Caenorhabditis elegans: one gene and its partners. The protein of the gene in region 1 interacts with the protein of each later gene in a pairwise test. Each region holds a gene or a part of one and is shown in the gene's direction. Other genes may lie near its edges. The genes, in order: nck-1, F43B10.1, bcl-11 and smim-14.

Region 1 (8,785 bases):
TTTAATTTTAATTTGGCATAGTTTCAATTTTTGATAAGTTATACTATTGTCCGTTTGCCAAAATGTGAAACTATGTTGGTGCTAAATATTCCACGTTAAGGTTTGGCTTTTTCTGTGCATTTTAGATTTTCGAATTTTATTTTTCTTACGCGAAATGAACAAATCTGTAAAATTTGGCACTTGTGGATCGTAACGAGACCTACCACTAAATTCACAGCATGCGCCTTTTAAGTAATATGTCAAAATTTAGCGAAATTACTATATGATATTTAATCATTTGAACCACAAAAGTGGCTTCTAACAATTTTCCTACAGGCGCCTACTTCATTTTTAACAACATGCACCTATTTGTATTACAAACACCCATTCTTCTGATATCTTATTCATCCATGATTCATACTCACTGGTAAATTGAAAAGACTCTGTGTTTCCATGTGAACAGAATAGTGAATAGAGTGAGTAAGGGAAAGTGAGAGAAAAGACAGAATAATTGGTAATGGTTGAACGTTGTTATTGTTGTTGTGTCCCTCCGTCCACTTCTTCTACTTTTCTTCGTCTTCAGCTGCTGCTAATACCCGCGCTGGTTGGTGACGGGGGGCCCCCCTAGATATTTATTCTCCGATGACCAGATTGCTAAGTGTCCCTTAAAGGATCATCTTGTTGTTATTTTCAATTCCCAAGTAAATCCTTCATCTATCCCCCCACAAACCATCTCGTCGTTCCAGTCTGAGATTTGAGCCAGATTCGCAAATTTTCCGCACATTATTTTGGCAATCCGTCTTCAATCTTTTCTCTCTTTTCTCCGCATTCCAATGCATTATTTCGGCCCCTGTTGGCCCCCATTCAAAACCGAAAATTCCCATCATTTGTCATTGACTCTTGTCCTGTCCGAAAATGTGTGTGTGTGTGTGTGTGTGTGTGTGTGTGTGTGCTACGAAGAAAACGATGGGGCTCTTCCAACAATTGTTGCCTACAATTGTCGGTTGTTTTTCCTCTGCTTTTTGTTTCTTTTTTTCTTCTTTTCTTCTTTTGCAAAATGGAGCATAGTCAATTACGTTTCTGGTTTGAAAAGGAAAATTCCAAAAAATTAAAATTTTAATATGAAAATCTGTATTTCTAAAATTACTTAATTGTGGAATTTAATACAATTTGGAGTCTCGTCAGTAAGAAATGTATTCAAACGCTCCTGTTGTTCTTTTTCTAAGTGTGGCAGTTTAATGTGTTGACTGAAATTTTAAAAATTCTAAAAATTCTAGGCCATATTGAACTACGATGGGTATTCTTTTTCGACAAGCAGGTATATTATAAGGCATTTTCTTTTATAATATAATTCAACCAAGTATCAAAAAATCAAAATTTAAATTAAAAACGGTATATAAGTATATAAGTTTGTAGGAGACCCTAAAAAAATTAATTTCAAATTAAAACTTTCATCATATTTCCAGAGCTTGAAAAAAGTTATTCTAGATTTGTAGGAAAAAGAGGTCTGAAAAATATATAACAACTTAACTTTAGCACTTTTGGGGGTAACATTAAATCCAGAAGTATCAATATATTTTCAATAAAGGCCTTACAATCCTAACTAAAACTTTCCCCATTTGCGTGATTTTCCCCATTTGGAAATGCTTACAGGCGCAAATAAAATTTGCCTGAAACCTGATTTTGCACTTTCAGAGGAAATGTGGGGTTTCCTATTGGTACTTTGGCTGGAAGTAATTATATGCCAAAGCCAGGCATCTGAATTATTTCCATTTTCCCATTGAGCCATTCGAAAGTGCACCCGTCTTGCTGAAAAATTCAAAGGCATCCTGACTCATAAGTACATCTGCCCAACTACTGCAGTTATTTTCTCGCTTGACGCCTTCTAACAAAATCCTGCTTACCTCGCCAACTTTTTATGACTATATTCATGTGTTTGCTAACTCCATAAAATAGTATTATTGAATAGGCAATGCTGCCCGCGTTATGCTACTTATTATTCACATCTCACCTTTTTCATTCTTCTTTTTTTGTCATACTTGATACGGCTGTGTGCTAATCTGAAAAAAAAAAGATTTTTGATACTAACTATAAGTTTAATATTTTTCATAACTTTCGAATCAATAAAAAAACTTTCCGGAACCCGTTCATGACACGCTTTGACCTACCAACATCCAACAGCCTAACTGACTTCTGAACAGATTGACATTGACCGATATATCCTAGAAAAATGTGGCGTACGTCGTCAGTGCGCCTTCTTTTTCTTTTTTCCGCTCACTAATGTTGATTTTATCAGGTGTAGGTGTAGTGAGGAGGTAGAATAGACGACGTCAATTACGAGTTGCGTATCCATCCCCTATTCATTTCATTTTCCCACTTGTTCTCCTCGGTTTTTTGCTATGGATTCGCAATTTTTCTCACCAAACCACTTTACAGGGTGTATTACATCGGACATTTGAAATGTCGGAGGACTATGTGGTCGTCAAATACGATTATTTAGCACAAGAGGAACAGGAGTTGACGATAAAAAAGAACGAACGGTTAAAGCTGTTAGATGATAGCAAAAACTGGTGGAAAGTGAGTTTTTATTGACGGAAAACATACTGAAACTAATGGTTAAATGTGAAAACAGTTTGATCCACTTTTCGAGAACTCTAAAACACTGTCGCATGTTCAATTCCCTGCTATATTGAAATTTTAATGTTTTAAGCATAATTAGAACATTAAAATAAGAGAAATTTATTTTAATCAACGACTTTTTGGGGAAATCTACATATTAGTAAGTTCTCACCACTTTTTGACTCGAAATAAAAATGTTCCAAAATTTTTTGAACAGTTTTCTATAATATTTGGTTATTTTAGCATCATATATAAATTTACAATTTTCTCTTTTCATTAAACATCCAGAAAAATTTATAATTTTTTCAAAATTTTCAGTCAACGTTTTGGTCGACCATATTTTGCACATTGACTGCACATTAAAATATTTCAAAAAACAATTCTGAAGAGTTTCATTATGATTGTTGGTCATTTTAGCAACATTTAAACAAAGCTTGCACTGACATTGCTCCACATCTCAAAAAAAAATCCTGGTACCAATTAGCAAAACTACTAATCAAAAAGTGTTCTACAAACCTTAATTTTTTTAAAAATAAATTGAGCCACTTAACGTTGTTTTCCCTCGGATCAAAACCGTTTTCTTCAGGTAATGAACGATTCAAACAGTGTTGGATTTGTGCCTTCAAACTACGTGCGAAAAGAATCAATTGTGGACAAAGCAAAAGGAACAATCAAGGGCTTAGCGCGAGGTCGCAACCGATCCTCAGATCCGGAGCCGGTGAGTGTTTCGTTTTGTTTTTTTTTGTTACAAAAACCCATCTCACTTCCAAAAAAAGCGCCAAACTGCCGCCACAACTAAACGAAACATAATCGACTGTAATGTCGCACTCTCAGTTTTTTTTTGTTTCCAAATGCCAAAACCAGTCTTCACGTGGAAGATTTGTATTTACACAAGCGCTTCCAGCCGAAAGCAACAGTTTGAATTAACTTCTAATTAGAATTGCCAACAGATACTTTATTTCTTTTAATTTTAAGGTACATTAAAACTAGTTTTGATATACTAACTTTCTTCCCAGAACATTCCAGTTTTGTTTCCTTATCATACAGCAAACAAAATCGATTTTTTGCTCCGTTTGTAATGCCATAAAAGTTTCTAGAATGATTTGTCATATTGGGGCAGGAATATTTCTCGTTGTCGGTTTTTTTATTGCAATTTTTATGAAACTAACTAATAGCATTTACAAATTTAAAGTTAATTATTTTAAATATTGTAGCTTCCATTAAAAATTGATATAATAGCCCAAATTCTAGTAAAAAATGATTTTGTCATCACCACAATAACTAATTGAGTGTTTTGCGCGTAAGATACTGCGCATCGTCTGAACTAACAAACTCTTCTTCCCCTGTTTTCCCAGGATTATTGATTGCTCGAGACCGTCCAAAAAGACCTCGCCGCGCGTTCTCCCGTTCTCCTCGCCGTTTTGACAGGTTCGTCTGTTTTTTGCGTTTTCCTTCCTCCACATAAAATACTTTTTTTGCTTTTCTTCTTCTCAATATCAAAACGGCACGCTCAATTTTTCGAATCATATTTTCGAATCGAAATATGCTGAACTTTGTGAGGCAAAAACTCCGTAATAAATGACCGAAACCGTTAATATTTGCATGTGTGTGCAAGCGGCGCATACTATCATTGCCCTGTTATCACACACACACACATACATACGGCTCTCCCGCGACAATGTATTCGGCGCAAATGAGACAGTCTCGGTATACAAGAGCGCGCGAAATTTCAACGCTTCCTATGTTTTTCCGTCTTGACGATACGTTTCAATCGCCTGAGGGCCCCTCCCGCTCTTCACCCCCTAACCAAAATCGTGTTTCGATGTGTGGGGCGCTGCATGCACATTGCCTACGAGCTCAACCGCTCACTTTGTTTGCATTTCTGACTGAAGGTAGCGGGTTGAGTCTGTGCTGCTGCTACTGGCCACGTAGCGCCTCCAAAAAAAAACTTGGAATTTCCGGCTTCATCAAATTTGTTTTTTTTTTCGCCGTTTAAGATCACGTTTCTAATTAAACTGTGAGCTTTCTAGGCGGGAAGAGCACTTCCTTATCGATTTTTCTCGTGCCATAAGACCTCCTTGCAATAAACATCTGCGTCGTCCCTCTAACTTGCCGAACTTAATACTTGTGTTAGAGCCCTACATTTTTTTTAAATAAATTTATTTGAAGTGAAAATTTTATTTTTGAATTTTGAGGCTTTTTGATTAGGATAGTATATTTTCTAATGTAAGCCAAAAAAAAAAGAGATTTCACATAACGATACACTATTTCTTTTGTGTTAGAACTCTACATTTTTTATAAAGTCAATTTATTTAAAGTGAAAATTTTATTTTTTTGGAAATTTTGGAAAATTGAAATTTTTTAGACTCCAGATGAACAAATTTCGTAATGAGAAAAATGGTTTTAAAATTTCTATGGCGCTTCAAAATTTTGAAAAAAAGCTCAATTTAAGCGAAAATCTCTAATTTTAGTACTTTTTTTGTTGTTGAAATTGATTTTTCAGGAGGAGCGATTAAACGGCATCGCGCGTCTAGCGTTCAGCTTGAATAACAACTGTGCGGTGACACCATCATCCAATAAGGTTTGACAGGCTTTTCAATCATAACTTATTTTAATCCGCCAACGTTTTTTTCTTCAGATTCCTATGATGAGCTCGAAAACGAAAGCTGTGGTGAAATTCACTTACGAGCCAAGACTTGAAGATGAGCTCGGTCTCACAAAAGGAGATTTCGTTTATGTCGTCGAGAAAAGCACAGATGGGTGGTGGAAGGGAGAAGCACCGAATGGAGGAGTCGGATGGTTCCCGTCAAACTATGTGGAGGAAGTTGAAGCTTCGACAAACGGAAATCAGGGAAGCATTGAGAACCGAAACCCAGCAGCTGCAGCAGTTCCAGCGCCCATAATGATGCAAGCACCACCGCCGAAGCTCCAGGCGTCACGGTCTTCATTTGAAGTAGGATTTACCCCAATGCAATTTAATAATCATTTTCATAGATTCAGGTCGTCGTTGCATTGTACTCGTTCGACGCATCATCATCTGAAGAACTATCGTTCAAAAAAGGAGAACGGCTCGAAATCGTGGATCATCCAGAACATGACCCCGATTGGTGGATGGCGCGCAACGCCAGTGGAACCACAGGGCTTGTGCCAAGAAATTACATTGAGGTAGTGCATTTAATCGCCTAAAAATTCCGAGAAAAATTGCCCGAATCTGAAACAATTAGAACATTTCAGGTGGTCAACGACTCATCATCCAGCAAAGCTTCACATCAAGATTTCGCACCGCAATATTCAGGAAACGGAGAAATTCCGATGGAGCAACAGCCGTGGTATTTTGGACGCATCTCGAGGGAACGTGCTGAAGATCTTCTACTACATGGTCGTGAGGGAGAGTTTCTGGTCAGAGATTCGGAGAGCAATGTGAGCATTTTTTGGAATTTTTCAAACGGTGTCTTTCCAAATAGTCGCAAGCTTTCAACCATTCCTAGCAACTTTAGAAATGCCAATTTCAGAAGTTGCAAAAGTTGGTTGAGAAGTTGTGGGATACTAAAGTTGTTCAAACAGTTGCCAAAGTTGGTGAAGTATAGTCACAAAGTTGCTAATATTGGTTTTAAAACTAAAATCGACGAATAAGGAGATTCAAGTTGTTTAAGAAGTTGTTAAATTTAGTTTTATTTTAAACTTAGTGCAAAAAAAATCCAAAAGAATGAAGGCTGGCAAGAGGCTACAATTAGTTTAAAAATGGCAGCAAATGACCGAGATACTACGAAATTAATTACCAAAATCAAGGACCGCAAAGGAAAAAAAAACGTTCTAGCGTTTGATTTGAACATTTTCACTCCAAACTATATATTACAGTTAATACGCTTTCATTCTGATCAGAATACAATCTAAATTAAAATCAATCTTCATTGACAGTATCCCATTTGAATATTGCTAGGAAGACAATACCAAAAATGGATATTTTCAACCATTTAATATTAAATTCAATTTTTTTCAGCCTGGAGACTTGTCGATCTCAATGCGCGGAATCGAACGCAACAAGCATTTCAAAGTGCAAAACGTGGATGGTCTCCTGAAAATTGGAAACCGAACGTTTGTGGACATGAATGCTCTTATCAATCACTACACAACCAGCCCAATTTTCTCGTCGCCAACGGAGAAGCTGTTTTTGACCGGTCCTCTTCCCAAGTAAACTACTTGTTCAAAATTTCAATGCAATATTCTTATAAGCTCATTCTTAACAATTGTTGTTTTCTTGTCTTCTTTGCAGCAATCCATTTTTTTTCTGGACAAAGCAAGTGAAAATCTCTTTCGTCATTTCTATCACTAGCCCTGTGTTTAGATATGTTTACTGATTTGCCATCCGCCGTTTTTGATAAATTGAACGGTTGATCACGGTTTCAGATATATTTCTCATTTTTTCTTTGGTTCTTTTTCTTTTCATTCAAGTTTGTAATTTTATCAAATAATTGTCCTTAACTCACACTTTCCATTCATCTCTTCTTCAATTGTCTTTTGCTCCACTTCACAACGCTGCGTTGTTTCAGAATATTATTTTCAATTCCAATTGCCATATGTGATAACTGTAAATGAATTTTCAAGTGGGCATATTTCAGATTTTTTTAATTGTTACAATTTTTCAGGTTTCAATTTTTGTACAACGCGATTTCCGGATGTGAAATGAAACATGACATTATTGAAGGTTTTTATAAATATTTTTTAGAGTATCCGAAATTCTTCACATTTTTGTTGTTAAAATTTTAAATTTATCATAAATTCAAAATTGGAGTTTTTTTGCCAATTATAATTTAAAAAATTGACCAAAAAAGCTTTTAACAATTTTTTACTTTGTAGCGGTCTGAAACTGTGGAAATGCTTTACATTTCTTAAATTTGCCAAAATTTTAATTAACACATTTTGAAATAAAACTTTTAAACAAATTTACCAACATTTTTCTAGCGGTTTAAATTTTTGAAAACAAGGTTAATAACTTTTATTTGATTGTGGTTTTAATTGTAAACTGGCAATTCATCTCAAATTATTTTGTGGTAGCAAACTTGTAAATTTGCAAACAAGCTAATTTGTTAATCGGCAAAAAAAATTGAAAATTAATAGGTGGTAGTTTTATTGTTTATATTATTAATTTTATAATGTTTTATATTTATAGTTGGTAGCGTTTTTTAGATGTTCGGCAAATATGGCAATTCGACAGTTTTAACTCAAAATTCAAGTATTGGTATTATCTCTAACTGAACATTTTTTTTAGAATATTCTCAAATTGAGATTTTCTTTTTTATAACATAAGGCAAAAAGTAACTACGCGTGTGTTTGTATCAACGTTTTCTCCGTCATTAAAGGCTGTTGATCATTTTCTGACACTTTCTACATTGAACATGTCTGACAAGTTTGCATGTGTTCGGGGAATAAAATATGTATTATTTTGGTTTCAAATTGGAGAATCAAAACATGAAGGAGACATAAAAAGAGCAGATGAGGTGATTGGTGTGCGGTTGGATTATACATATGACAGGTGAAGAATACCTGGTGCTACCCCCAGACCCGTGCGAAGTAATAATAATTCGGGTTATCCTAAAGTGGATAGCATCACAAAGAGGAAAATCGAAAAAAATGGGATTCGTCCTAAAACAGTGGGTAACGAATATTTCAAAACAAAGAAAAAAAGAAAAAAAAACAGAGATTTCCTCTTTTACCAATGGGTCTCTTCACACTCGTAAGTCAGTAGCAATATGGGGAACGCAAAACGGCAACGGTGTGACCTGAGACACATGGTAAGATGGTCTGGTTAGGTATGCAGGATGGACGATTGGGAACAGTGATCATTAGTAATGTCTCATTCTTTTTGCCCTCTCAGGAGATCTGGGTAGGGTCGAGTTAAAGTTAAGGGAAGGAAATTTTGAAAATAGTAGGCGGGGGGGGGGGGGGGGGGGGCAATAAGACAAGGAAGGTTAACATGGAAGAAAATGATTTTTGTGTGATGCAAGTGGCAGAGAGTAAAGATCCAATAGGTGAATCTTCTAACGATCAAGAGCCATCAAGTAACGGTAGTTTTCCTCTTCGGTGCGCTCGACTGGCTTCGAGAAGAATCCACGGTGGAAGACTCCTCCGAACAAGGCAGCTCCCTGAAATATTAGAAATTTGAATATTAGAAACATAAACACGCTTC
Region 2 (6,655 bases), about 13 Mb from region 1:
CTTTTGTCCTACTCTATCACATAATCATAATCATAGTAGCAATCACATAACTTTTAGACTTGTTTTCATTATTTGTTTTCTTTTTTTTTGGTGGCATTCTTTTTTCTCAAAGATTTATAACAAGTCCTAGTTCTTAGTATCAAATTCTTTTTGAAAATTTTCAACTTTACTTGCCGGGATATTATAAAATGGTCGTTTTTAATTTGATTTTAAAAAAGTAAATTGAAATTTTTTGAATTTTTCTTTTTGATACCATTTAAGATAATTTCTATCCGGAGCAGCATTTTTGATATTTTTTTCCTGAAAATTAAAATGAACAAGATTTTTAATTTGTTGATTTCTGGAGAAAAAATGAAAAAAAATTATGAAATTTAGATTTTAGATTTCAGAAACAAACTTCGATAGATTTTATTCAAATCTGACTGTCAGTTTTTTGGAAAAAAGATTTATTTGAAAGATTTTGCTTGAAATCCTAGAAACCCTGGAAAATCGAGAATCTTTCAACAATAATTTCAACTCCAAACAGAAAAATCGTTGAGTGCTGCCAAAAAATCATACTTGCTTCTCTAATAAATATTTAGATATTTGGAAAATGTATCCTATGAACTCCTAACAAAATGATATCGAATTTTTTCAAATTTTTTTTCAGCTAGATTTGTTTTTAAGAAGAATTCCACTGAAATTTTGAAAAAAAATGACAAAAATTTGCAAAAATTTGAAATAAGATTTTAGGTACTTGTATTCTAATCCCTCATATTAAAAATGAATTTTTAAATAAAAACGTGTCGAGTTTTTGTATTTTTCGGCTTATAAACATTTAATCATTTCTAAGCCTAAACAGGGAAAATGAACATCACGTTTTATCAGAATCGGAAGATAAATGGAAGTTTAATTAATTTTAAAAATGCGGGGTTTTAATGCACAAGTACCAAATTTTGTAAATATATTCGCTCTTGATTATGATTGCTTTTATTCTTTAGATTGTTGCATTGTTTCCAGGATAACTCAGTCTCATAAACTATGTCCTCCAGAAAGTTTTTTACTGAACAAAATGAAACTTGCTTTGGAACTCCATAGGATCAATTCCTTTTTTCAGTCATTTTTCAGCCGCCGTCATCTTCCATTCCTAAACTTCGCTTTTAATATTTCTCCCGTTCAATATAAAAATAGTGAAACGTAAAAGGAATGATGATTAGGTGACCACGGATTGCACTTGACGAGTGCCCGATAATGATACATCGAGAGAGTGAGAGAAAAAGAGCAGGCGATCTAGCGACAGCTGTCGGGGGTCGTCGAAGTGTAGAAGGACGGACCTCTGAAATGAAAGCAAAAACGTATTCCGTCTCTCCTCGAGAAAATATATACTCCATCTCTTTCTCTCCCTCGCTCTCGCCGGGAGCCCCGTCTACCCGCTGTAACAATACCAGTGTTCTATCGGCTCGTCGCCGCTTTCGCCTCGAAAGTCTTCTCGAGGGGCTCGCAATTTATTGGCTTCTAGACCATTCAGCTTCTTCTTCTTCTTCTTTTTCTGCTTTTTCATTTTCTCTTCTTGCTGCTTCGTCTCTTTTTCTTTTTTACCGCCGACGTTCTGGTTGCACTCGCTCACTACTACCTGTCTTTTTTCGCTTGATCATCGTTTCATCTTTTATCCTCCCACTTTTTTTCGTATCCGCTTTTCTAGTTTTTTAGGATCTAGATTTTTGAATAGTGGTTTTGGTTTTTTAGCTTAAAAACTCCGCTCTAAGAGCTCTTTCAACCTTTTTCGTAGAATTAATGTTCAGAATTCTCATCATCATCACCATCTATCGTTCATTCTTTCATCACATCTTCTTTTCCAAATCTTCTTACAAAATATGTCGCTCCTCCTAAAGGAAAAGTTGTTACTATTACTAATCACTTCAATCTGCAGTTTCTGCTGGTTCAGGCCACTCCTATTCTTCTTCTTTTTCGCACTTTCATTTCAATCTATGTTTTCCCACTAATTGCTACCTGCTAGATACTGATCTATTATATAATTCTATTTTAAGTTACCAGTGGGTTCAAGTTCATTTTATAAATAAAAAATGCAATGCAAATAAAAAATTTTTTAAGTAGTATTTTTCCTCTCATTATGAATCAATCCTCCTTCCTCTATTAAATTTGATTATGATCCTATCTTTTTTCCTTTGTTACCTCTCACTCTGCCTCTCAAGTTTGTTTGATTTGTTGCGTTTTTCCATGTTTTTGTGCATTTTTGCTCCAACTTGCTGCCACCTACTCAACAGTTGTCCTGCAAAATATCTCGTTTCTTTGTTCTTCCCCCGCCATTCTTTTAATCTCTCTTCCAATTTCGGACATCTTTCAGTACTTGCGAGAGCAAAGGGTAAATGTACCATCTTGACGACGACTACTTCGCAAGATTCAACCAGCCGTCGTCCTCGTCAGTGCAGTTTCCATCGGAATCGTTACGGTACGGAGGCAGTGGTTTGGCCACTACAACCACGTTTGGTGCTGAAAACGACCCCCAAACTACTCGTTTCCGGTCGCAGTCGGCCGATAATCGAAGATCAGCGTTTCAACATCAGCCGAGAACAATCTCGGAGGATCACATTCCAGAGCCGTGGAATCAAGGACCACTTCGTACTGCTGAAGTGAACTTTCCGTCCCAACAACGAAGACCAGCTTCAACCACGCCCTGGTCGTCACATTCAGAGTACCACTCGTCACATAACCTGTCAGTACCCTCTTCCTTCTCGGAACACCTTCGCGAAAGATCGCCAGCCAGTGGCTCTGCACTTCTCGACTTACTCTCTCGTTACCCGTCTGCACAGCACTCTGTGCAAAACTCACCAGCCGTGCAAGCCTATATCGACAGAATTCACACGGATCGGGCTCCACCGACACGATCGTATACCTATCAATCGTCCGAATCTAACTTTCCACTAATTGAGTATTCAATTCGCCAAGAAGTCCCAAACGGTGTTCGATCGACAACTTCGGTTTATCAAAACGTGGTTCCAAACGGAAACGGATATCCGTCTCAACAAAGAGTGCAAACAACCTTCACCTCGAACGGTCCGGTAACTTCTACTTTTCATCGCGAATACCACAACTCTACCCCGCATCAATATCAGCACTCAAGTTCGCTTGGTGGTCCTCCTCTGCCACTTCCACGAGAGTCGTCATTGCAACAGCAGCAGCAACAGGCGCACCCGTTCGAAAATCGATCTGAGTTTCATCGTCATCCACCGCCGCCGCCGCCGCCATCTTCCTCTTCATCTCATCAATTTTACAACAACGGAGTACCCGCACTCGCCTCAAGTGCGTCGTCCGGAGGTTTTCGTCAACCCGTGTTTCACGACACGGATCAGTTGGATATTATTGCTCAACGTCTCCTTGATGACAACATGAGTCGAAGCACATCAGAATGGAGCAAATCGTTTGAACAGTTGCAGAATCGGTTTCAAAATTTGGAAAGCGATGACTTGTTGAGTCCATCCGCTTTTACGACCACTGGGTCAATGACTTTGCCACGACGTGGAGCACAGCTGCCAATTTCAAAGTCTTCAAGTAACTATGAAATGAATAGTTCGCTTCTTGGAAGAGCGGTTGAACGAAGAGCAGCTGAAGCTCCAGAACAAAGAAAATCCGGAGCATTGGATAATTTCTGGAGTCAAACCATCAGCTCGAGACCTTCTTCGCCAACAATTCAGAGAATTCCAACAAGTTTAACAGCAGCAGAACGACTTCAAATGTTACAAGAACCAATCGACACTGAAAAAAGGTTTACTCAGAGAGTTGGCAGTGGTCAAGGAGTTGCTGCAAGAAAAGCTGAGCTGATGAGAGAACCATCCGTCGAATACACCGAGAAGCCGAGAACTCCATTGAATCCAGCTTTTCCGTCAAATTCTTTCCTAATTCCAAGTTTCAATGAACTGGATAATGCTGTAAATGAACTCTCAAGAACTGTTCGTGGAAATACATTTGGCGGAACAACATTTGGATCCGTGTCACCTGCACCTGTTGTTCACAATGATTCTCTAAACCGACGAGTTGGAGGTTGCGGTAGATTTCCAACAGGTGAACACGCTTTTAGTCCCCCACCAATTGAGGTGTCTAAGTCTCCTGCTTTGTCACTTCACCGGAAGCTGCACTCTCCATCCCCAACAGATGAGGTCAGCGAGAGCTCTTCAGTGTATCAGATTCCAACAGGACTTCCGCATCCAAAACCGAAGCATAATGTGAAAGAACAACTTCATTTAGCTGGAATTCATACTCCTGGCTATCAAATTTCGCGAACCATGTATCGAAACGGACCGAACTTCCCGGTGCCCTCGACCGGAAGTGTTGCCTCTCGGATCACAGAATTCGAAAAACGACCAGGCACTCCCGTTGTGCAACTCTCGACCACAACCGTCAAATACAACGAGCATGTACCAGTTGCGGCGACCGCTAAAGCTGTACCGCAAACCAATGGCAATATGAGTCCACGGAGCGCGGTGTTTCGTGCCAAACCAGTCATTCACGTGGACATGGGCAGCACATATCAGCACTCGTCGCCGACACCGCCAATCCGTCATATTCAAGTGCATTCGGTTCAGAATCAGAATCATCAACCACTGCAAAATCATCAAAACCACCAGTCCTACCTTGGGAAAGAGCAACATAATCACTACCGTCCACAGTATCAGCAGCAGCCAATTAAACAACACGACATTGCGACCCATTCGATTTTCGACTTCAAATCAAACGTGAGTATTTTTTAGTTCTTTTTTTAAATCCTGATCTTCAATTTCTTATGAGACTGTGGGGTTTTGCTTGGCAAAATCTTGTTAGTGTACTTTCAATCATGTGGGAATAGTGCAAACAACCGCGAAAAACTATCGGGGCTTGTGTTCGGAGATGAAAAAGTATTCTGGATCTTGTTTTCGAGAGAAATGACAGTTTTTAGAACGTGTGCTCTATTTTGAGACGATTTTTGATTGCTGTTTCTATTAGTTGGTTTTTTTTTCTCAGACACCAAAAAATACTTACGTCAATCCTGAGAATTGCACCTTTCCAAAGTATAAAATAACATGTTTTTATAACTCCAAATGTAGTTTTTCCCTTATCTCTGTTTAGTTTAGGTGATCATTTCAATGAAATTTTTTTTTCATTAAAATTGTAACTTTCAAATTATTTGTTAAATAATTTCACAACAATTTTCTGCTTTGTTTTTGGACATTTTCGGAAACGAATACACATTTCTATGACGTCCATTCTCAAGAATTCAGTGTAAACACAAGTGTCAATTTTCGCTGAATTTTATTGTTTCAACTTTGCCTTGTTTGTCATGGAATTCCAGAATTTTAATAAAATTCGAAATAGAGTAGTTGAAAAGTACGATTTTTGATTGATTTTCCTATCTCGAGAAAATGTTATTCAATTCACCTTCAATGTTTTTTTATTACTACAAAGTACGCAAAATGATCTCAAAAACCAAATTTGCATAATGATAATACTTGAAATGTTTAAAAAAAATTCAAGTCCGGTCTGTAAAGGAAAATTGCTCACCTTTGATTCTGTTTTGGAAAAAAAGTTTTTGGAAAAATAATTCTCAACTCAGCTGTTGATTTACGTACATAAATTTTTAATATATCAATTTTTTCTTAGTAATCTCAAATTTCAACTGTTTCTAAGTTTCAAATCGCCATATCATTTTTTAAAAAGCAACAAAATTCTTTAAAAGTCATTTTGAGTATTTCAAAAGTATAAAAAGTGCTTTCAACATCTTCGTTATTAATTCCAATTTGTAATAAAAATTTTCGAAACATCTCAATAAATTATTTAGTTTGACCTTATCACATTCTCCTAATTTTTCAGCAAATATGTATTTAATCCTGTTAAAATTATGATGTTGTTAATCTAATTTGACTTTCTGATCGATTTGTTTTTCCAGGCTAAGCCCCCAAATAATTCAGAATTATTTATTTGGCTTCCCGAATATTTTCGAATACACACACTTATTACCAACGGCTAAAATATCAAATGTTCTCCTTGAATGCACGTGCTGCCGAGCAAAAAAGTACTTTGAACGGATAGCGTGGTGAAATGAGATCACCCAACATGCATTTCTTTTTGTATTAGTCCTTAATCCTATGTAATCCTGAAGAATATGTCAAAATGTTTATTATAATGATTGAATCCGATTTTCCTGTTTTTGTGGGCATTTAAGAATTTATGAATATGAGGCTTCCCCTTAAATGTTTTGAATTTCTGATTTCCAGTCTGTTTTTCCATAGTTTTTTGAGATCGTCAGAAAAAAACTTGTTAAATAGGCCCTGCAAAAAAAGTATCTCAAAAATTGATGTTTATTAAACTGAAAAAAAATGTCGATCTGAAAATTTTCCAGAAAATTATTTTACTAATTTTAAGACACAAAATTAGTTTTTCTTTCAGATTTTTTTTATAGGCAAACTTTTTGAAATGTCTTGAAGATTTTTCAAATTTAAGACTTTTGTTAGCTAACACTACCAAATTAAGCAGATTTTCACATTGCTCCCATATTTAAAATAAAGTTTCAAATTTCAGTTTTGACTTGAAAATTTTCGGAATGATTTTATTTCATGTTCAGAGAACCGAAATGTTTCTCGCTGAAATACTTTTTTGTAGGAACTAGAATTTGCGAGACGGGAAC
Region 3 (9,556 bases), on another chromosome or scaffold:
ACTGCCATCGTCGTCGCTTGCGTAATCCTTCGTTTGTTACTGTCGCGATATGTATCGTCGCCGTCCCACCCATCATCCTCCTCCCTCCTCTTCCCTTCGCTTTCATTTTTTTCCTGTGTGTCCCATTCACTTTCCGCCAATCCTCACTTCACTTTCTCTGCCCATCGGATGAGATGGATGTTGAGGTTTTCCTGGTGACGTGAGGCAAACGCCTTCCTGATCGGTCGGTGCCTCTGCCAGTTGCATCCTGTATTCTGCACAAGCTTCGTGAGGTGTCCTGGCGGTGCATGTTTTCTCCTCCTATTCCTATTTTCACTTGGACGTTCTGTTAGTCTGGGTGCATTATATCTTTATATCCTATCGTATTCGTTCTACTCAAACTCTATTACAATTTAGGTGTTGAAATGTTAATTTCAATTTTTGTTTTGTTCTAATTTATTTTTGCCTCTCTCATTTGAGAAAACTTTCTTAAAATACTTTCTGTTTACGTCATTTTAAAGTGAACTTCTGTATGTGAATATTCCTAGACTTTTTTAAAAGTTACATTCATCTTTTCTGATTGTTTCCATATATTCTAGCCAATACTTTTCCACCATCTTCTATCCTCCTCATTGCTTAATTTTACAACTATTTTTCACCGTTGACACAACCTGCCACCTCCACCACCACTATATCACAAACATCTCTTTTTTGGTGGTGGGTATACTGTAATCCACCGGTTCGTCAATAGTACATGATAGAGAGACCGCCGCGCCACTTCTGGCATCCCTCTTCCACCGGACCTGATCTGGGCAGCTTGAGAGAGTGTGTGGATCAGAGAGACGGGGAGAAGCTTTGCTTTCGCTAGGTGATGCATTGCGCAAGATGACGCTTTCACTGCTTTCGCTTAACGTCTTCACTTATTCAATCTCATCCCTTATCCCGTCCTCCCTTTCGTTGATGTTTCTTCGCGTAACCTGCCCCCTGTACGTCAAAAGCCAATGACCAGTCGCTGCCTGGCATCTATTGCGCAACTTGTGTGCATACAAATATTGTGCTCTTCCGCGCGGAAAAGTGAGGGCGCGAAAGATTAGAGTGGCGTCCACGTGTACGAGCAGGGCGCAGGGCTCTCCCACTGTGTCTGGCCATTTTTTTGGGTTTTTGATCCTCATGTTACACTGAACTCGGAATCTTGCAAAATTATGCTTTGAACTGTAGCAGGTGCACGAACCGCCTAAGCCAGCCTCGCCAGTGGGTTCATAACTTTGGAAAGGGTCCTCAAACAGAAAACCTAAAGAAATAATATTTCCGTTCCCGTTCCATGACCATCGAGAAGAAATAACATACAATCACATAGAAACCTCGACCTGTGTAAAATACCAGTTACGGTCAAGATGACCAAAAATGACCGTATTGTGATGGCCGTCTCCGGTCTTCTATCTCTCGAGAATAGATAGAGAGGGACAGAGAGAGAGACCACGACGACCTGAATTTTGAATGGAATCTCAGGTGTATTTGTGAGTGAATTGTGTGTATGTGTCCCTCGCCCAAAAACTTTTTAGACAGAATGAGAGAATCCCCCCACATGTTTCACTGTCTCTCGATCTACTTTGTTTTCTGCGCCCATTTTCCTAGGTAAGAGTATCTCCTCTCACGTCTTCTTTGACAGTTCTTTTGTTGGTCACATGTGACGTGGCACACTATTTCTCAGCAGTTCCAGAACTCTTGTATACATTGTTACTGTCTTCTTTCTCCCCCTCACATGTGCATCTTTCTTCCCCGTTTTCAGCGGCGCCCAGCGCCATGAAACCGTTCTTCGCGTCTCGCAGTCTGCAACTCACGTTCTCTAGTCTTCTCTCTGCTCCGCTTTTTGAATATAAAAGCGAAATAATAAAAAGTGACTGTGTGGCTTGTGTATGTGTGTGTGTGTGCGTGTGTGCGTGAGGCCCTTCCGTCGTCTCCGATCACTTTCCTTCTCTCTGTGTCTTCTGGAAGCGCACACATTTCTACACTTCCAGATCAAGGTGGGCGCGGAAACGGAGAGAACTGTTTGCGCAGCTTTTCGCGTCACTTTCCGTGTGTGCTGCCAAGAGGGGACAGAATGAAACCCCGCCGATGATTCCTCTGGCATCACGCATTTTTTTATTGCAATGTATGCTCTTAGCTCGACGTCACACGGAAATGGGCGGATCCTTCCGCGCGCGCGGATCGTCTGCCCACTGTGTACCGCGGCGCCAGCATGTTTCAACGAGACATGAGTACTTGCACTTTTTTGCCACAGACACCCTAGGGCTTACGCTCCCACACCGCCTCATATTGTCCGGCAAAAAAGGACGCGGTGGGTGGCCGGCAGCTTCTCTTCTTTCACTCCAACTCTTCAGTTTATCTTCTGTTCTCTTTTTTTCGAAACTTTAGCTGAAATTTGTATTTTTTTAAATTAATTTTTCTAGTTCTTCAACTTCTTCTTTTCCGATGTTGCTCCCTTGCCTTTCCAATTTACAATTTGCATCCCAAACTTTCGACCCCAAGTTTCAGTTTTTTCGCCTTTCGTAATTCCACACTTCGTTTTTTGCCTCTTATCAACAGTTATTTCTATTGTCTTTCGCATGTCCATCGGTTTCCAGATCAACACCTAAAAAAAGAAACATATGATACCGCTTTTAGCATCGGCGGTTCTATTTTTAGCATCATGTGCTCTGAAATTTTGGGAAATTTTCCATTGTCTCTGGCGCCGGACGCCATATACCTTATCAGTAGTGACCATTTTTTACTACGTTGTCTTTCTTTCTGATTTTTTGATGCCTGGAGCACTAGGCATTACGCAATCAATACCCTTTGATAACAACGCCGACAGTTGCTGTCAATGTTTCTTTTTGTGCTTCTTCTCGTTGTTCGGCCGTTCTCTTTTCTCTTTTTTTCTCTTCTCCGACTTTTGTTTAGTATCTTATTTTATTAATTTTCTTCATTACAGTGTACCCTAACCTCCAGCTCTACGTTACGCGCGGCAGCACATATTCCTGCGTGTTTCGAAAATTTAAAAATTGATGTTTTATGTGTCTTGACAATAAAGTAAGTTTGAGCCAAAGTAATGAAAAGTCTATAACCAAAGTGATTTCAGGATCATCTAACTTCAGTTATTGGATACCAAACCATATTTAGTGGGCAGCGCTTTTACACAAAATTTCCCGGTTGAAAGTGAAAGAGCGACTTCACATGAGTAGTGGACGTTCAAAATCACAGGTAATTTTGGGATTCAAGTTTCTGTGTCGGCATTGAGGTTCAAATCTCTAAGAGCAGTAAATCCTTATCAGTTCGAGAGCCGCGTGACAAACTCAACTTCCAGCCTTTCGTCCTTTTTGCAAAAACCTATTCTTTTGTTCCTAGGTTTTGAGGGGCGGGGCCGATAAACTTTTGTTATCAGCGTGACAGTCTGGAAGGACACAATGACAAAGGGGCGTCCGTTTTTGGACACACAACTTGGTCCATTGTCAGTTATCATTTTTTCAAAATTTCTGAAATATTTCGAAACATGCTTTACACTAATGAGCTTTTGCTCAGTTCCAGAATTATCAAAGTGAGTTTAAAAATTATTTACAGCCCAGTTTTACTCTAGCTTACTTTTTGAAAATTATTTAAATCTGTATTGAAGACTTGTATTTCTTAATCTTAAATTTTGAAATGACTCACTAACTTTTCGTTACTTTTTTGTGCCGACTCCTCATCTCTGACAAAAGGCAGGTCAAAGTGAATGAACGGCCAAATTCTAAATGTTCAACCAACAAAAAAACGTGTCTCCCCAGTCGTTCTTTCCAAGTCTCGACCAATCGGCCTTCTCCTGGCAAAAGAGTATTTGCTCTAGTTATATTGTGTCTCTGATGCCCCCGAGTACTGTACACATACACTGTAACCTCGCGCCCCGGCGCTACGCCCCTCTGCCAAGTCATATGCTCTCTCTCACCTGCGACGAGAGCTCATTTTCCACGCAAACTTCTGCGACCCACCTTACATTCAATAATTTTGAAATCCAAGTGACCCTTGAAACATTTGATATTCTCAATTTGAAAACAGTGTGGCCTAAATCTGAAAATATTATCTGACAAAAATTATGCTACATCTACCGGTAAAGCAAAATTACTATCAGATTCCAATTTACGATCTCTTGTACTTTCAGACAATAGAAACGTCTTCGGCGGGGCGTCGGCGGAGGAAGGCGAACAGTGAAGTTGATAGCGGAGCTGAGGAGCCGACAGCCACAAGCAGTAGTGACGATAAAAGTGGTTTGTGTCCATTTTCTCATGCCTTCCGTAATTTGTATATTTTTCAGACTATCGTCTTGATTTGAAGAAACGTCTCACCACATTTTTAACCAGTAAGTTTTCCCTTCTTCTATTGAATTTTCGCGTTTCCCAATATTTTCGCAATGCACAATCGTTCCTTCCCATGCCGCACCTAGTTGATTTGATCATCATATCAATGACTGGACGTTTGATCACACGTGTTACGTCACACGCGGCGCTTGCGCCAAAATGTGTCTTCCGCGCGGAAAGCGACCGCAAACATTTGATCAGATCGACGACAATGCAAATATTCTCACAAAAAACCACAAAGTGCGCCATTGGCAACACGGTGAATGTTCATTTCCACACACACACAAAAAAACACATACTATAACAGAAAAAAACTGTCAAGAAAGGGAATGGCAAAGAGTTATGTAGACAAAGTTGACATATGACACGACCTAGTTTTTTTTTGCCTCCATCCAACTTTGCCAACAGTTGTAGACCATCATGATCATCACATCGCAAAAATCTAGTCTTGAAGAGTTGGAGAAAGCTTTGCAATATTTGAGTAATTTTTCGTGAGCACAAACATTTCATTTTCTTTCAGGTAACTCTCAGATGGCCTCATCGGATTCGGGGGTTTCTGGTGTCGAATCAACAGTTGAGCATGACTTGAGTGAATTGAAAGCATCGGATTCTCCGATGTCCCATGACGGAGCAGATTCGCCCAGACCAGAACTTGACCGGACGGATATTGTAGTATGTGGAGAATGTCATACAAGTTTCTCACTGAGCTGCTTTTCAAATTTCATCGAACACAAAGTAAGTCTTTTTACTTTGTGAGACCTAATGTCACTGTGAATCAAAATCACAATGGCATCATCTTTTAAAATGAAGAAAGCTTCAAAGACTTTCAATATCTAGTGATGTCATTTATATTGTTTCAATTCAGGTGTCAAACTGCGGCGGAAAGCTGACCCCATCGGATGATTGTGAAGTGACACCACGCAACTTCGACCGATCAAGACGAAGAACCTTCAACCCGGCGGCGCTGGTGAGTTGATGGAAAACTATTTTGACCAATATTTACCTAAAGAGCCTTAGCCCCACAGACCTCTGGCGCCCGCAACCCCATGACCAAGAGAGTTAGTCCCCTCTATTCCACGTCTTTTTTGTTTGTTCTGGACATTGAAAAACTGTCGGACGGGGCAGAGAGAGAGTGGCTCTGAAATTCTCCATAGAAGATAGTAGTACCTGTGCAAATAGAGAGACCCACAGGTGAACTGCAGAAAACTCAGCGCCAATGCCATCAACAATATTTTTTTGAAGAGGGAATGCATAGAAATTCGGAATATTTTCAGATCAGATGTGGTCGTTCAACATCAGCAAATGCTCTTCTTCCCAACTACAACATGGACGTAACTACGGACACAAATGACTTAGGTGAGTTGGTCAACTGATCATTGTGCAAAGAGCCCGCAAATGTTTGAACGTCCTTCTAGTACATGCACTTCCCGGACTTTAAGTCGGAGCCCTTTTGTAGTAGGCGCTTTGAGTAGGTAACTTCCAACTCTACTTTCAGTTTTTGTTTGTCCAGAGGGTTACGGTACTTGAAATTTTTTTCACATTTTGCCATCCATCCCCCGTTGTTTACCGCAGGGCACCGACTTTTTCTTGGCGGTGAGTTGTTGTAGGGTGATCCACAAGACTGTGTGTGCGTGAAGAGACACAGAGTTACCACGTTTGCATAGATAACTGAGATCAGAGAGACGAAGTTTGCCTATGTACCAACGAGTGGACCAGTTTTGACCAGCAATTTGAGAAGAATTTTGTGGGTTGAGACAGGGCGCTGCGCAACGCAACGCACCAACTCACTGCGAGATAGACTCTTGAAACTCGGCGCCTTTCTTTTTCTCGTACGTGAAACTGGGAGCCGAAGGGGGAGAGAATGTGTTTGAATAGAGCATCAATGAATAGAAGAAGGTCGTCAAAGACCGGTCGTTGGCTCGGCGCTCAGGGGTCAGGTTACTTGTGCTACATGTTGATGTTGCCACCACGTCATATCGGCGCCCGTGTGACCGAAAAAGACCATTCAACAATGCAGAAAAAAGTGAACAGTATATAACTACTTTCCGAGAAATTAAGTTTTAGTGTAAACAACTCTAGAGAAGAAGTAATGGCAATAAGTGGAGTCCACAGACTGACCGCGTATTTCCGAAATAGCCACACAATGAGTAATCTAAGTTTATCCAACTGCCATTGCTAAGTTTTGCAAAGATATATACTAATTACAGGGAGCTCTTCGAAGTCACTCACATGTTGCAATTGTAAAGAACGATTTGGAGATGTTTGGACACTTTTGAAACACAGCTACGACATCCATGGCCTGCGAGTATGCCAAGAAGCAATCCCAGAGTCGGATGTTTCGGTTACTTCAACATCTTCTCCAACATCAAATGAGTCAATGCACATGTCTTCAAGATACAACCATAATGACACCTCATCCAAAATCATGCATCAAACCATAAAGTCTGAATCAACAATGATGAATAGTTTTTGCTCAGAACGGCTGAAAGAGATTGTCACAAGAGCTGGAGAACAAGATCAGAAACCACTGATGGCGCTTAGAAGGTTGATGCCAAGTGAGGAAACCGAGGAAGAACAAGTCTCAGCGTTTACCTCAACGTCTCTTCTCAATTCTAGAGCTTCTCAACCGCAACTCCCAACAGTCTCCAGCTCGGCAGGCTTCCAAACTTCTGGATCTATGCCAAATGTCTGGATGCAGCCATCAATGCTAGCTGCTATGCAGGAATATTATGCATCAATTCAACAGATGCCATATCCAATGACAAATAGTACTGCGGTTGCTTTGTTGAATATTTCAAACAACCTTCAACAACAACAGCAACAACAACAACAGCTGCAACAACAGCAACAAAATCTGATCGCCGCTCAACCTCAGGTCGCAACTCCACAACCACCCGCACCGACACCTTTGTTTCAGAGTTTGAACAGATTGTAAGTTTGAATCATAATTGATGAACTAAAAATAACATTTACCCGATTTAGAAGTACCGCTGATGAGTCCTCATACACTCCACGACCTGCATCAGTTGCAATCAGACGACGTGCTTCACCGGAAGAAGAGTTGACACCTCCACGAAAAAGTATGAAAATTGAAGAAGAAGATCAACTGATCGTTGTCGATGATGGTGAGCTTGCTGAGCCAGCTGCTCGCAAGCCAAATAACATCAAGAAGGAGAGATGCAATTTTTGCAATAAGGTGTTCACGAATCGATCAAACCTGATCGTCCATCTCCGATCGCATACTGGAGAGAAGCCTTACAAGTGTCAACTTTGTCCATATGCATGTGCACAAAGCAGTAAACTGACTCGTCACATGAGAACGCATGGGCAACAGGGGAAAGAGACATATCACTGCTACATCTGCCGAATGCCTTTCTCAGTTCATTCTACATTGGAAAAGCATATGAGAAAGTGTGTAGTTAGTACTCAAGGTCGTCGTGAAGGAGGTTCTCCACCAGGTACAATAGTTCCTGAATTATTTTCAAAGAATTCAACAATACATTTTCAGAGCGATCAATTCGTCCAACACCTTCAGCACTTGCCGAGGCAACGTCGCTTTTGGCTCTTTCAGCACCATCAATTTCAGTCCCTCCACAACCTCAAGCTAGCACAGTGGGCCAGAATCAGAGCCAAAGCCATCAAATTGTCCTGAACTGGCTTCATGCTCTCAATGCAAGCAACAGTACGCCTACAGCAACATCGAAAGAAGATATGATTGAGGCTGATGAGGATATGGAAGAGACAGAAGCCAGCGATTTGCAGTCACACCAACCGTTAACAGTACGTCTCGTAGGAGTAATTTAAACCTCAAACTAATACAATAATTTCAGAGTGAATCAAATCAAATTGCTACGGTTGCTAACTAATCATCCAGTATCATCAGTCATTTCTAGCCAGTCATTTAATATTTCTCTCTCAATCCACCTACCTTTCAATCTTTCAAAATACCCTACAACTCGTCTTCTAGTCGCTCGTTTCCATCTAGCATTTCGTTCTTTTTCGCCTCAAATGTTCAGTGTTGTGCTTGTGTTGTCGTCCCGTGTGTGTGTATTTTCTTTCCATATTTCACCCAGTGACCCAGTTCCCTTTTCTCGCCTTGTTTAGTTGTCCGTTTTTTCCCGGTGCCAAAACGCACTCACTATATCCCTATCCCTTGTTTACTTAAGATTTAATCACTTGGTTTAGTGTATTCATTGGTTTCTAAAGCCTTTTTTGTAACCCCCATAGGACTTTCAACAAACAACATGCAAAATAGCCTTTACACGTCTTTTTCTTTCATCCTTAGTGAGTCTCTAGATTGATGTAAACTTTCATCCAACAATCCAAACTCAAAATTCCTTTAGTTTCTTTTAGAACCTACACACACTTTCAGCTCCCCCCAATAGATTGTGATCCCTTCCTCCCAGTTTTCCAGTCAGTCACTGATTATCTAGCCAAGCCTTCCTCAATCCAACTGATTAACATCCAGCTTTAATCTCGCTCTCCTTCAACTTTCAATTGCAGTGAATTGTTCCTCTCTTTCTTCTTTTTTTCTAATAATCCATCAATCGGCATCTCCATCTTCTGAACCCCTAAACTCCAATTCAATCGTCTTTCTGCTACCATTCACTGCTATATTCGATAATTATTCATTTAATCTTTTCTGGCGTCGCCCAGGCAACCATTACTCTTTCGCAGATACCCCCGGTGATTTTGTTGTACAGACCCTGTCCCTTTCCCCCAATTTGTCCCGTGACCTAGTTCTCCCATGGAAGTAGTATTTTTAGTCCGACTGATAGCCCCCTTGTACCATTTATTATACATACATATATATATAAATACGTCCATACCTTCATTTATTCCCTTATTTTATTGCTTTCTCATTCTCTACCAACCTCTTAATATTCTAGTTGTTTTTCATTTTAGTCGCTGATCCTGCTTTTTTGTCTAGATGGACCATCTTTGTGTTAACTATCTTCCTTTTCGAAGAGATTTTCATAAAGGAACCATATTTCATTCAATTTTTCTTTCTTCGGTTAGCTGGTGTACTTTAAAACTTGTGAAGCTATTTTCTTCCCTCTTTTCTCCCTTTAATTCTACCCAATTATTCTTTCCAATTTTTGTCTTCAAATAAATTGCAAACAATACATTCACACACATTGTTCACAAGAGTTAAAAATAAATAAAAATCGACAGAACGGTAATGAACTTTTCTTTTTTAGAAATATACA
Region 4 (6,241 bases), on another chromosome or scaffold:
CACCGTATTTGACGCGCAAATTCTATTTACGATTTTCCCGCGGAGGAGCTGAGCACAGAGCAACAGCTGCTGCTCCGCCAGATCAATTTCTAATGCATACGAAACCATGGAATAATTGAAGATTTGCGCGTCAAATGTGGCGCAGAGCTCAAAAAAATGCTTACTGAGATGTGAAATTTGAGAAAACGACGAAATATTCCGATCGACATGCTCAACCTCTGTCACTTCGTCTTTCTTCTTGTCCTTTGGCATTTTTACCTGAAATTTTAATTTTTTACATCCTTTTTTTGTGGATAGGAAATGGTGCTTCGCGAGTTGATAAACGATAAAATCAGTGTTAAATATGACTATTTTCATACTTTGACATGGTGCATCGACACAAAAATTTGAAGAAATAGCAATTCCAAAGATCTTTTTCACTTTCTCACTTTCTAATCCTCTATTAAATATAATTGCGGAAGAACTAGCAAAAAAATGGGAAAAAAAGGAAACACAGCTGGAATACCATTCAAGGGGATTCCAACGAGATAGTACATGAACCTGTAAAGACACAGAGACATATATTTGTTGAGAGAGGGGACGAAAGACGAAAGAAAAAGAAGAAATGACAGCGAATCGTAGGCGGAATGGACGTGTGTGGGGTGAGATGGGGGGAAAAGGAAAGTGTGTACAGCGAGAGAGTATTACACTGTTGGAGAGACGCAGGGTGCTGGAGACATTTCAGTTTGCCAAGAGAACGATGAGAAGCAGTGAAAAGTTCATTGAGCGATGGGCGGAAGGAGGATCCTCCTTGAGGAGAAGGTTACATTTTTATTGATTGATTTTTTTCGGGCCCATATTGCGATCAATTCTATTTTTTGAAAGGTTTGGGTTTTGTGTGTTTTTTCTAGATTTTCCTATTTTTTAAAGATTTTAAATTTCTAAATTTTAATCTTCGGCATCAAAAAATTTTAGATATTAGATTTACACAAATTTTTTTTTCCTTTTTTCTTATTTTTAATCTAAAAAAACAAATTTTTTCTTCAAAATGTTCGTCTTTTGGTACACCTCTAAAGGGGCACAAGTAAAATCTAAGTGATGGGTCTCGCAACGAACTACTACTAATTTTAAGTTCTTGAGGCGCGCCTTTAAGGTTACTGAAGGCAGCATTTATTGATTTTTAATTATTTTTAATCATTTTGTCTTAAGATGGCAAAAAGCGATAAGAAAAAATTCAGTAGAAAGAGAGAAAAAGGTAAACATTTCGATTGTCTCGTCGTCTTTTTTTTTTGCTTCATTTTCTCTCTTTTTTCACTTTTTAGTTTAAAAAAGCAAAAAAAAAAATTAATTTCCTTCCGTTCAGTGCCCATAAATCCGTTTATGAAACGTCATCAATATCTCTAAGCCCTCTTTTCTCTCTCACAGTATTCCAAATAAACAAAAAAAGATGTCTCTTCCTCCCTGCCAACCAACAGCCAACGTCAGTTTTTAAAATGAAATTTTTTTTTTCTAAAAATTGGCCAAAAAACCGATTTTTAGACTGAAAAAAGGCTTTAATGTCCAAAAATAATCAAAATTATCGATTTTCGACACGCTCGTAAATTAATTAGTCTTGTCAGTTGTCGTCAATTATAATGAATTACATCCCCGAGAAAAAGTAGATCAAAGACCGGTTTATCCCTCCCGACAGATACGGAATGTGTGTCCGCTTCCGATCAAAAGGTTCTCTTTTTCTTATTTTGTAGTCTGTGTGGAGGATACACTTGGTGATTAATTATTATTTATCGGCCTAAAAAATGGTTTTATATTTTTATAATACCCAGACGTGAAATTTTGCGATTTTTGCGCCCCGGGGCTCGACACGACAATTTTCTTATTAATTGCAAAAAAGGTGTACGCCTTTAAAGAGAATTTTCAACAATTTTAATTTTTTTTTTAAATAAAAATATATTTATTTAATGAAATCGAATAAATTTTTAACAATTCGTGACAAAAACTACAAAAAAATCTATGAAAATTCCGTAACTACAACAAAAGTTCAAAATTACAGTACTCTTTAAAGGCACACATTTAAAGTCACATGTATTTGAGAGAAATGTGTCGTGTCGAGACCCTGGTACCGGTACCGTAATCGCAAAATTGGGTAATAATGCTCAAAAATTTTTCAACTCTTCAGCAACATTTTTTGGTAATTTTTTAGAGAAAAAACACAATTTAGGCTAAAATCCGGAAACAACAAAAAACTGGCCGAAATTCTAATTTCACCATTTTTTGCTCTGAAAGCATTATTTTTTCACTTCTTCAAGTCATTAAATTCATGAAAAATGTGCATGGTTTCCCATCACAACCCGTCGTCTCCCAGCTGATTTTTTGTCTGTTTTCTCTCGCAATCTCTCCCCATTGAGCAATATTTTTGTAAGGCAACGTTGCATTGCCCACTTTTTTTTATTTTTTATTATATTTTCCCGTCCACGTTCTCTGTTCGTTTCATTTCTCGATTCTGTGAAGTTCAACGACGGAAACTCGCAATTTCAGAGAATGAGTGATCCGTGTGAATGTTTCTTCGATCATGAATCTGCTATGCAAAGACTTTTGGCTATGGTAAGGGAAATAATTATGGAAATATTCGGGGTTTAGCGCGAAATTTGCCAATACAATTTAAAAAAAACAAATTTTCGGCTCTCGACTCGATAAATTTGATATGAAATGCTAAAAGGTGTGCGCATTTAAAGAGTACTGTAGTTTCAAACGTTTTTCTGTTTTTATCGCTTTCTTCTGGTTCAAAAAATTATTATATTTTTGTCGAAAAACTACTAAAAATCTATGAAAATTCCGCAGCAACTAAACTTTGAAACTACAGTACCCTTTAAAGGCGCACGCCTTTTTCGCAGTTAACAAAAAAATAAAAAATTGTCGTGTCGAGACCCCGACGCACAAAATCACAACATATCGTATCTGAATACCCATTGCAAATCGTCATAAAACTCCAAAAAAAAAAAATGTTTTTGAAAAAAATCAAAATTTTGCAGCTCCGAAACTCGCAAGCGGACTGCACAGATACGGGTTGCGACAATGATGGTTTGAGTCGTGAAGGTGGCAATACAATGATGATGTGGACACTTTTATGGACATTTATGGCAATGGCACTTTACGTGATGAGACCCAATTCAATGAGATCTGATAGAAGAACCGCCGATGATGCAGCAATTGAAAAACCAACTGGAAGTTCTGATGTTAGTATTGTCAAGTTCGGATTTATCACAAGAGCGCAGAAAACCCGCTCCACGGCCAATTTTGGGTCTCGCCACGAAAAATTAAAATTTCGGGTGTGCGCCTTTAAAGTACTACGGTACTTTTTGCACAAGTATCTTAATTTTATTGTATTAGAGAGACGCAGAAAAAATCACCTGTGAAATCGATGTGAAAACACGCTCCACGGCTAAACGTAAAAGCTCCGCTCCCCAACAGTTGGGTCTCGTTAGGAATTTGGCGGGAAAACCGGATTTTCAAATTTTCAAGCAGTTTTCGTTGTTTTTAATGTATTCTCTATCCCAAATCGAAAAAAAAACAATAATTTCGGCATAAAAATCAGCGAAATTCCCAGTTTTTCCGCCAAATTCCTAACGAGACCCAACTGTTTGGGGGCGGAGCGTTTTCAATTGGCAGTGGAGCGCGTTTCTGCGTCTCTAATCTTTTTTTTTTGTGCCCGCCCGGCAATACATTGACCGGTCAATCAGTTATCAGAGACGCGAAAAAAGAAATCATCACCGGGTTTTATAGGTGTTTGTCCTACAGTCTAACTTGAATTTTTGAAAAAAAAAATTAAAAATTTTTTAGGGGATATGGAATACCCAGTTCCTTATTTTGGACTTTATTGCTAAATTGAAAAAAAAACAATTTAAAAATATTCCCTGGAATTTTTGTTTATTTTTTTAGTATTACGTGAACGCAAAATTCAGAGAATACGTATTGCACACCATATTTCACGCGCAAAATATCTCATAGCGAAAACTACAGTAGTCGTTAAAAGGATTACTGTAGTTTTCGCTACGAGATATTTTGAGCGTCAGAACTTTGTGTTTACGCAATATCAACAAAAAAAAACTAGAAAACTTTCAATTTTGGTTCATACGATAGTTTTTTTTTGTTGAAAAAATCGAAAAAAAAAAAACAAAATTTATCGATTTTCAGATTTTTAAATATAAAATTAAACTATTTCAAATTTTAAAATGTTCTAAACTTCTCCTCGGGGAGTACGCGTCCTATAAAATTTTAAAATTCCAATTTCCAGGACAACACGCCACCACCTCCACCGCCATCTGCAATGTAAATCTGAAATCCTCTACCGTCCGTCTTCTGTAACACTCTCCTCTGCCACCAACCATTCCTGTGTATAAATTGAAAAAATCCAGTTTTATTTTTGCAACTGGAATCCTCTGGGTCCTCCTCTTCTATTCATTCATATGCTTTTAATTTTCTCTCCCCTGTGCTTTGGGTATCACAATTTTCGTCTCTCTTTTTTTTTGTCAAATTTTCTGTGAAAATCGCCTACTACTAGTCCCTACCAATTTCTTGTACATTTCCGTCTCTCTGGGAATATGAATGAAGATTCGAGATTATTCGAGAGAGATAATTGTTCACACATTAAAATTAAATTAAGGAATGAGAGAAAGAGAAAGGGGGAACACGACGGAAAAAAGTGAACAGGAGCTGAAAGAAGGAAAAACATGAGAATAAAGTGAAAAATCAGAGAGAGAATACACACAAAATGGGGGAAAATGAAGATCAAGTACACGAGGAACCGAGGCTTTTATAGGGGGTCCACTCCAGACAAAAAACATTAAAATTCAAGATGGAATAGCGTGAATTTGCTTTGAAATAGCAAAAAATGATGAAAATTGACAAAAAAACGATAAAAACCCGGAAAAAATTCAGAAATAATGAAAAATTCATGTTTTTTGCTCAACTTTTGACAAATTTCCCCGGTCATTGGTCGAAAAATGGGCGAAGCTAATCGCTAATTGGTCGAAAAAAAGAATTAACAAGCCTCTGATTGCAGGACCAATCAGCGATTTGCTCCGCCCTTTTTTGACCAATCAGGGGAAAATGTCAAATTTTACGGGAAATTAGCTTGAATTTTATTGTTTTTTGTGGGATTTTTTTGGAATTTCAATTATTTTGGCAGGTTTTTTTTTGGGTTTTTTAAAAAGCGATTTACACTATTCCACCATAAATTTTAAAGAATAATTAAATTATGTAGCTGTGGCGGAAATAGAAATAGGCAGGCAGGTGTGAGGTAATATTTAGAGGAAATACGGAGCAACGACACGATCCGGCTTCTCACGGCTTCCATCGGGAACTGCGTTGAAATATTTCGTCGAGCGATTGTTTCCGTCGATTTCGAATACGGCCGCCGCGTTTCCGCATCGATAGCAGTAGTTTGGAGCTGCAATTTATCCATTTATTTGAAATTTCTTTTTGTAATAACTTTTAAAGCAATTTCAGTTTTTTCAGTTAAAAGTGTTTTATTTTCTTTTTTCTGTTTTTAAATTTTTATCGTTTCCTTTAATCCTTTTTTTTACAGTTTTTTTAAAATCAGTTTCTTTTAGTTTTTTAATAATTTTTTTAGCAATTTCAGTTTTTTTCAGTTGAAAAATAGTTTTTTCTTCTCTTTTTTCAGTTTATTTGAGGTATTTTTCAGTTTTCAAGAAAATTTCCAGCTTGTGCGATTAAAAAAATTTCAGTTTCCAAGTTTTTAAGTTTTTCAGTTTTTTTTCAGTTTTTAATGAAAAAACATTAAAACTTTTTTTCGGAAAAAAGGAGAAATTCTTAAAACCGAGAAAATTTTGTTTTTCGATTTTTTTTTTGAGTTTTTTGAATGAATTTTGATAAATTAGAATTTTTCAAAAAAAGTTCGAAAACGGGAAATTATCGGAAAATTTCCGTTTTTTTTTTCAAAAATCGACCCATAATCTTTTTTTTGGAATTTTTTTTCTAATTTTTCAGCAAAATAAAAGAAATTCTTACCCGACCAAACGGTAGCGAGTTTCTCATTAAACATATACTTAAATCCTTCGTCAACGAGTTGATGGGACCGGCAAAGTAGTGAAAGATCATTATTCATTAGGAATTCTTCTGTCACTTTTGCTCCGAACACCTGCAAAAAAAATTAATTTTAAAGTGGAAATTCCAAAATTGACAGGGCTGTCGTATTTTTGGCAAAAAAAATAAAGGTTTTTTCGGACCAAAAAACAAAAAAAAC

Evidence for each region.
Region 2: the proteins of nck-1 (region 1) and F43B10.1 interact in a two-hybrid assay, tested with the Caenorhabditis elegans proteins (one large-scale study listed by BioGRID).
Region 3: the proteins of nck-1 (region 1) and bcl-11 interact in a two-hybrid assay, tested with the Caenorhabditis elegans proteins (one large-scale study listed by BioGRID).
Region 4: the proteins of nck-1 (region 1) and smim-14 interact in a two-hybrid assay, tested with the Caenorhabditis elegans proteins (one large-scale study listed by BioGRID).

The regions. Positions count from the first base shown.
Region 1 is NC_003284.9:4,147,074-4,155,858, reverse strand, and holds nck-1 (NCK (Non-Catalytic region of tyrosine Kinase) adaptor protein family), read left to right. Parts: upstream 1-2,415; 5' UTR 2,416-2,439; coding exon 2,440-2,556; intron 2,557-3,184; coding exon 3,185-3,316; intron 3,317-5,101; coding exon 5,102-5,179; intron 5,180-5,236; coding exon 5,237-5,551; intron 5,552-5,592; coding exon 5,593-5,763; intron 5,764-5,832; coding exon 5,833-6,018; intron 6,019-6,598; coding exon 6,599-6,793; 3' UTR 6,794-7,206; downstream 7,207-8,785. Other genes in the region: ZK470.2 (Growth-regulating factor), read right to left, coding at 8,637-8,741.
Region 2 is NC_003284.9:16,650,195-16,656,849, reverse strand, and holds the start of F43B10.1 (EF-hand domain-containing protein), read left to right. Parts: upstream 1-2,338; 5' UTR 2,339-2,366; coding exon 2,367-4,730; intron 4,731-6,655.
Region 3 is NC_003283.11:6,353,525-6,363,080, forward strand, and holds bcl-11 (C2H2-type domain-containing protein), read left to right. Parts: upstream 1-2,500; 5' UTR 2,501-2,510; intron 2,511-2,948; 5' UTR 2,949-3,048; intron 3,049-3,097; 5' UTR 3,098-3,192; coding exon 3,193-3,219; intron 3,220-3,933; exon of another isoform or gene 3,934-4,084; coding exon of another isoform or gene 4,085-4,099; intron 4,100-4,150; coding exon 4,151-4,256; intron 4,257-4,303; coding exon 4,304-4,348; intron 4,349-4,438; exon of another isoform or gene 4,439-4,580; intron 4,581-4,866; coding exon 4,867-5,081; intron 5,082-5,211; coding exon 5,212-5,313; intron 5,314-5,620; coding exon 5,621-5,702; intron 5,703-5,761; exon of another isoform or gene 5,762-5,906; intron 5,907-5,966; exon of another isoform or gene 5,967-6,326; intron 6,327-6,553; coding exon 6,554-7,277; intron 7,278-7,328; coding exon 7,329-7,804; intron 7,805-7,854; coding exon 7,855-8,126; intron 8,127-8,176; coding exon 8,177-8,212; 3' UTR 8,213-9,473; downstream 9,474-9,556.
Region 4 is NC_003281.10:3,466,020-3,472,260, reverse strand, and holds smim-14 (Small integral membrane protein 14), read left to right. Parts: upstream 1-2,514; 5' UTR 2,515-2,517; coding exon 2,518-2,580; intron 2,581-3,008; coding exon 3,009-3,212; intron 3,213-4,270; coding exon 4,271-4,309; 3' UTR 4,310-4,600; downstream 4,601-6,241. Other genes in the region: rsu-1 (Ras suppressor protein 1), read right to left, coding at 165-252; pph-6 (Serine/threonine-protein phosphatase 6 catalytic subunit), read right to left, coding at 5,283-5,425, 6,007-6,136.